Linked DNA regions of Drosophila melanogaster. The protein of the gene in region 1 interacts with the protein of each later gene in a pairwise test. Each region holds a gene or a part of one and is shown in the gene's direction. Other genes may lie near its edges.

Region 1 (3,818 bases):
TTATATAGTTCAAAGTCTGGGGATGGGTGCCCGGAACGCTTATGGCATCAGAATTAAACAAGCCGTGGTTCATAAAACGATAATGGTCAAAATCGTGGGTTTTGGGGGATCCGGTGTTATAAACTATTATGAAGCTACAGTCTTGTACGCAATATTAATATATTTTGCCATTTGATTCTCCTCTCATCAGAGAGACAGATACTTCAGAGATTAGTCAGTATTGATAAAAATAAATTATATTCCAGAAATAGATTAATTGGACAGAAAGCTAATCACGAGCCATCAATTTCTGTCTGTGCTTCCCCAACAACTCGAATTACACAGAACCTCATAGTTACTATGAATACTAACACAATGCGAATTACTGGTTCTTTCCACAACCATCAGTCCACCCAAAGTTACCTCCCCTCGAACGATGATTACTATGCGTCACTTTCTTTCCATTCAAAACCAGTTGAATAATATGGGAACTGAGCCGCCGAAAAACCAGCCGGAAACAGCGAAAGAAACCGACGAAAAATATGAGTATCGAAAAATCAGAATGCGAGGCATGCGGCACATGACAGTACTTCGTAATAAATCCAATTTTTCCAATAGCGAAAGGTGTGTTCTGGAGGGGACATCAGTGCCGAATCGATTAGCATATGAATACCACTGTGCTTTTGGTCATTTCATTGTGCTCCGTAGCCGGAAAGTTGAATAAACTGCAAGAACCAGCCGCAAAGTGGAGACGTGGAAAGTGAAGATGATCCATCCGAGGAACCCAAGACCCCAGATCCCAGATCCCAGAGGTAGTTGCACCCACGATCCAACCTTCAACCGAGCACAGCTGTCAATGGCCCAACCTTGGGAGATTAACGCTGGAAAAGCGAGGAAAAACAATACTGGATCACACAGCTGCCGCAACTGGTGGCTTTATCGACATGGCATTATAGGCAAACTTGACCAATATTCTTTATCGTTCACGGAAAAAAACTGCGCGAACATTGTATCCATTCGCAAATCGAACTATGTATCTAGAGGTTATGGCAAAACTTAATTATGATGATTAAATATAAATATAATTAAATAATATTTGATATTTGGTTTATTTTTCTATATGTACTATAAAAAAGATAGAATAGTTGAGCAAGAAGACCTTGGTTAAATCCAATCAGCATGATTAGCAAGAAATCCATCAATTGTATGTCAATTGAGCAGATTAAGAAAAAACAAGAAAATGACCAAAGAGGAAAACCCATCACGGGTGAGCGGCCAGGGGGAGGATATAGAAACGCAATAGAGGGTTAGAGGTAACCGGAGGTCGGAAAACTTGATGTACGCCGTAAACAAAGCAGAGAACTGAAGAACCGAAGTATGAAAATTGTAAGCGGCACAAATGTGATATATGCGCAGTTTAACGACCTGGCATCTCAAACTATTACTGCGTTTCACAGGACTCAAAAGTCCTCGCACACAGTTTTTATCTAAACATTTCATTAACTGACTCTTTAGTTGCTAAACACTTTTCACTTTAACTTTTAAACTTACTGTATAAATTGGCACTTTGAAATTGAAGGCTCTGTCATTAAAATTTGAATTTTATTTATGCGCTGTTTGCTGCGCCTGCAACTGCAATGGAAAACCAACTGACTACGCGAAGGGAAATGAAAACAAAGCGCTTAATAGCTGCGGAAAAGAGAAAGGGAGGGAAATTGCTTGAAGAGGGTTGAAAATGCATTCTCTGTTGCTTCCGGTTTGGCGCCAAATGTAAAACATTTCGAATTCAAATAACAGCAGGCTATAAATTACAACAGAGCTGCTGTGCGCACACAGTCTGTTAGGCGAGAACAGCTGAGCTTGAACGCTGTTCAACACTGTACTTGCACGCTGTTTTTGTTTTTACTTGATAAAACTTGGTGACTACCCACCCGCAAATATCATGAAAATATCTCGTTTTAAGAAGTCGCACAAAACTCTGGTGTTTTTTGCCAGCAATTTCGACTACCGGGAACCCTACCAAGTGCTAATTGATGCCACCTTTTGCCAAGCAGCCCTTCAGGTGGGTTATTGCTTATATCATCTCTAGCACTTGTTGATATCCATAGTTAATTTTTACTTTTAGCAAAAGATTGGCATAGATGAGCAGATTAAAAAGTACTTCCAGTGCGGCGTTAAGCTACTGACCACCCAGTGTGTTATTCTGGAGTCGGAATCCCTGGGTGCTCCTCTCACTGGAGCCACATCCATCGTCAAGCGATTCCATGTCCACAAATGCGGACACGAAGGAAAACCAGTCCCCGCTTCCGAATGCATCAAATCGATGGTAAATTGAGAGTTACTTGATTTCAAGTATGCTATAGCCATAAAATGATTACTTGCCTTTCAGACCAAAGACAATCGCTATGTGGTTGCCTCGCAAGATCGTCTGCTGCAGGAGAGTCTTCGCAAGATTCCCGGACGTTGTCTGCTCTATCTGCACAAAGCCACTCCCGTCTTGGAAGCACCATCTAAAGCCTCCAAGAAGTGGGTGCAACGACGGGCCAAAAACCTAATGCTGGGCAAACAGGTCGAGAAAATCGACTACATGAAGGAGAAGCAGGGACTGAAGCCAGCTGAAACTGCAGTCAAACCCAAGAAGCACAAAGGGCCCAAGAACCCCAATCCATTGTCCTGCAAGAAGAGCAAAAAGGACAAGGCGAAGCAACAGCTCAAAGGAGTTGAGCAGACCGCAATAACCAAGGCGAAACGAAAACGAGTCAAGATCCCAGCGCACGTCAAGGCAGCGCTAGGAAAAGATTAGATTAGAATGGTTGATCAAGTAGATAAATATAAGATAATGCAAGGTAATCTGCAGTCTTGACAAATCATTATAATGTGGGAGGAGCTGCTTTAACTAGCCACCTGAGTGTAATATGCCCTCTTCTATAATGGCAAAAAAATCTATGCATCTGAACCAGATGATAGATTACTAAATTACTGGTTAATGACTTAAGTTAACTAGAATATTTTAGAATTCATAAATCTTAATTGATTATTAGCTTACCACAATATTGCTCACCAATTGAATGGGAGGAACTGTAGAATCCCACTGTGCCTGTGAAGATTATCGCGATTGAAACGCACACTCAACTTAATCTTGTGCACATATTTATATATTTTAGTATATAGTTAAGAATTATACAACAGTATAAAAGATGACTGAGAGCCGTTTGGAGCAGGAATAGGGAAGGGGCGAGGCACACCGGGGTTGTTCTCACAGTTTGCCCTCGCGAATCTTGTTCAGCGTCTTCTCGGTCATCAATTGAGCCAGAATCTTGCTCAGCGTGGGATTCCGGGCGCAGTAGGCCAAGAGGTTGACGGGAAAGAGGCCGCACCAGGTGAGATCCATCTTATTGGCCAAGGCAACGGCGAACAGATCGCCACATCTCTGGGCCGTCATCCGTTTCTGATTGGCCGTACTCAGACCCACCTTTCCGCCCTGCGAGCCAGTGAAGGCCTCCTGCAGGAAATCGGTGGCTATGGGTCCCGGTGCGAAGAGCGACACATCCAGCTTGCGCATCTCCACTTTCAGGGAGAGCAAGTAGGCGTTAAGGGCGTGCTTGGCGGCACAGTAGGTGGGTGAAAATGGCACTGGACTGAAGCCGGCGATGCTGGAGGTGGCAGCGATGTGTCCTCTACCGCCGTTCTGCTCCACGAAATAGCGCACCACCAGGCGGCTGAGGTGGACCACCGCAAAGACATCCAGTTCGAACAGCTCCCGGTCCACCTCGATCTCGACTTCGGTCCAACTGGCTCGCTGGGATCGGCCAGCATTATTGACAAGGACATCCAGTCGA
Region 2 (3,783 bases), on another chromosome or scaffold:
GCACCGAACCGGAGCTGCCCTCCGTCATTCTCAACTCGCACATGGATGTGGTGCCGGTGTTCCGTGACAAGTGGACCCACGATCCCTTCGCTGCCGATATCGATGAGGAGGGCAGGATCTTTGCGCGCGGTACTCAGGACATGAAGTCGGTGGGCACAGGATATCTGGGTGCCATCCGCCTGCTTAAGGCAAGTGGTGTCCAGCCCAAGCGCAATTTCTTCGTGACCTTTGTGCCCGATGAGGAGATCGGCGGCGAGCTGGGCATGCAGGAGTTCGTCAAAACGGAATACTACAGCAACATGAATGTTGGTTTCAGTCTGGACGAGGGCGGCACCAGTGAAATAGATCTGTTCTATGTCTTTTATGCCGAACGTATGCGATGGGGTGAGTAATCCTTGAGACACATCTAGGACTAGAATCTAAACTATATCCCCTCTTTGGCAGGTCTCAAGCTGAATTTCAGTGGAACCTCTGGACACGGCTCCATGTTGCTGCCCAGCACTGCCGGCGTGAAACTGAACTATGTGCTCAACAAGCTGACGGAGTTCCGCGAATCGCAGGTTCAGAGGCTGGCCAATGATCAGACAATCAACATCGGTGATGTGACAACTATCAATCTCACCCAGCTGAGCGGTGGAGTCCAGAGCAATGTGGTGCCTCCTCATTTCGAGGCTGTCTTCGACATGCGTCTGTCCATCACCCTGGATGTGGTTGCCTTTGAGAAACAGATCCACGATTGGTGCGAGGAGGCAGGTGGCGGCATCGAGATCTCCTTCGACGAGAAGGAACCCTACGTGGCACCCACAAAGATCGACGACTCCAATCCATTCTGGCTGGCTTTCAAGGCTGCCACCGATGAACTGTAAGTCTGAATCGAATGCTCAACAATGCGTGTTCCTAATACGATTTGTATGTTTATAGTGGCCTTAAGATCTACCCCATTGTCTGCCCCGGTGCCACCGACAGCAGGAACATTCGAGCTCAGGGCATTCCAGCCTTGGGATTCTCACCCATCAAAAATACCACCATGCGCATCCATGATCACGATGAGTTCTTGGGCGCCGAAACTTATTTGAAGGGCATTCAAATATACAAGAAAATTTTGGGCAACCTAGCGAATGTCTAAAAACTAAATCGAAATAATACATGAAAACCTTATCAAAATAAAGATTGATGATTTTGTTATAAGTTAGTACAAAACTTCCTGGCCTTTTATCTTATCTCAACGAATACCTTAATCAACTTAAGATCTGAAGAATACAACTTGCTATCCTTGCGACAGCAAGTAGATAATGGATGTATCTACATTTTGCTGTATCATCATAGATAGCAAGTTGGAAGACTGGGAAGCCCATTAAATCCAAAATAATCACTTGATTTTTTCAAATCGAAGGTCATCAATCAAAGCTTCGTCATTTTAATTGAATTTGTCATAATTTTACGATATGATGGAAAATATTGAAAAATACATGACAACTTACCAAGAACTTGAGGTTTCAAAGGTTGAGGTTGCATAGATAATACGCAATGAACTCATTTCTGTGTAAGTTGCATAGATAATACATAATGAACTATTTGCCGCTTAGAAAAGTTACTTATTCGGATAATAGACGTGTGGGTTTTGCAGATAAGGGCGTTACTATCGCAACCACATACACTTTTGATAAGCATTTAAATTCCTTGACCATAAACATGAAAGCAATCAGTGTGATTATAAAAGCACAGACAATCTTTGTTGCAGCTCAGTTGCTGATGACAGAAGAGTGTCGAAATGAGCTCGGAAAAGTGGGAAAACAATGAGGAAATTAAGATTTTCCGGGAATACTTGCGTATACCAACGGTGCATCCAGATGTTGACTATAGTGAGGACTTAATTTTAATTCTTTAAAGTTTGCGTTATAATGTCTTTCAATGTCTAGCTGCCTGTGTGGAGTTCCTGAAACGTCAGGCTAGCTCCCTAAATCTTCCTGTTGAAGTGGTTTATCCTGCTGTTCAAACGAAGCCCGTTGTGATCATCAAGTGGGAAGGAAGTCAACCCGAACTATCGTCCATTGTTCTCAACTCTCACACGGATGTGGTGCCAGTTTTTCGAGAGAAGTGGACCCATGAACCCTTCTCCGCCGATATTGATGAAGAGGGTAGGATCTTTGCACGGGGTACTCAGGACATGAAATCGGTGGGCACTCAGTATCTAGGAGCGATTCGCCTGCTGAAAGCTAGTGGCTTCAAACCAAAAAGGAATTTGTATGTGACCTTTGTTCCCGACGAAGAGACTGGTGGTCATCTGGGCATGGCGGAGTTTGTTAAGACGGATTACTACAAGAAAATGAACGCGGGATTCAGCCTGGACGAAGGCGCCACTAGTGAAAGTGACGTTCATCATTTGTTCTACGCCGAACGTTTGCGATGGGGTAAGTTCCATAAGGATGATGATGATGGATTGGGGACATTACCGTTTCGCTTTATGCAGGACTCAAGCTGAAAGTCAGTGGAACTTCTGGTCATGGTTCCCTTTTGCTACCCAATACGGCAGGAGTAAAACTGAACTATCTGGTCAACAAACTGACTGAATTCCGCACCTCGCAAGTGGAGAACCTTGCGAGAGATTCCAGCCTCAGCAAGGGCGATGTGACCACCGTGAATCTCACCCAGTTAAGTGGCGGAGTCCAGAGCAATGTGGTTCCGCCACTTTTCGAGGCGGTCTTCGACATACGGATTGCCATTACTGTGAATGTGGTTGCCTTTGAGAAACAGATTCGCGATTGGTGCGAGGAGGCGGGTGGTGGCATTGAAATTGATTTCTTCCAGAAGGAGCCTTATATAGGACCCACCAAGCTGGACAATTCCAATCCCTACTGGCTAGCTGTCAAAGCCGCAATCGATGAGCTGTAAGTACCGACTAAAAATTAACTATAATGGCTAATCGAAATCCTCCTGTGTTTTAGTGGATTGAAGGTTCATCCCATCGTTTGTCCTGGCGCCACTGACAGTCGTTTCATTCGGGAGAAGGGTACCCCAGCCATTGGATTCTCACCCATTATAAACACCACCATGCGGATCCATGACCACGACGAGTTTCTGCAGGCTGATGTGTATCTTAATGGCATTGATGTGTACAAGAAGATTATTCGCAATCTGGCTGAAGTCTAAACAAAATGTTTGAACTACATGGATCGTGGCTATAATAAAGATGGGCTAATTACTAAAGTGTGCCTCGTATCTTCATTTTAGAGAGTAATCTTATCAAAAAAAAAAAAAGATTCAAGAGTTTAATTTGAAATTCCGTGTTTATCTCAATATTGTTTGTTGATTCTTTGACTTTCGCCTCCTTGATCAAGATATAAATGATTCTGATGGGAATTCTGTAGCAGATTGTCAACTATACTGCTTCTTGTCACTACCTCGACTGCCATCCAAAGTGACTTGCAATATAGTCAGAATTGGAAGAGATCTGCCGCCCATTGATAACGATTTTCTTATCATATACGCATAATCACTTTTGTGGCACGATCCAAATGCATATAAAGACAGCGGATGCCTTTAGCTGCTTATTTCTACTTTACCATCCTAACGATTCATATTAAAAATGAGTGCCGAAAAATGGGAAAAGAACGAGGAAATTCGAATATTCCGGGAGTATTTGCGAATTCCATCTGTACACCCTAATATTGATTATAGTAAGGTCCTTATTTTAATATTTCCTTAAATGCATTAGCACTATTCATTTTTAGCTGCTTGTGTGGAGTTTATTAAGCGGCAGGCAGATTCCCTCAATCTGCCCGT

Evidence for each region. Proteins that work in one complex are often made in the same cells at the same time.
Region 2: the proteins of CG17652 (region 1) and CG6733 interact in a two-hybrid assay, tested with the Drosophila melanogaster proteins (one large-scale study listed by BioGRID).

The regions. Positions count from the first base shown.
Region 1 is NT_033779.5:1,730,367-1,734,184, reverse strand, and holds CG17652 (uncharacterized protein), read left to right. Parts: upstream 1-1,828; 5' UTR 1,829-1,921; coding exon 1,922-2,041; intron 2,042-2,104; coding exon 2,105-2,305; intron 2,306-2,368; coding exon 2,369-2,782; 3' UTR 2,783-3,152; downstream 3,153-3,818. Other genes in the region: CG31937 (uncharacterized protein), read right to left, coding at 3,236-3,818.
Region 2 is NT_033777.3:23,095,988-23,099,770, forward strand, and holds CG6733 (uncharacterized protein), read left to right. Parts: upstream 1-1,740; 5' UTR 1,741-1,771; coding exon 1,772-1,862; intron 1,863-1,919; coding exon 1,920-2,411; intron 2,412-2,470; coding exon 2,471-2,888; intron 2,889-2,945; coding exon 2,946-3,150; 3' UTR 3,151-3,204; downstream 3,205-3,783. Other genes in the region: CG17109 (uncharacterized protein), read left to right, coding at 1-384, 445-862, 922-1,126; CG6738 (uncharacterized protein), read left to right, coding at 3,587-3,677, 3,732-3,783.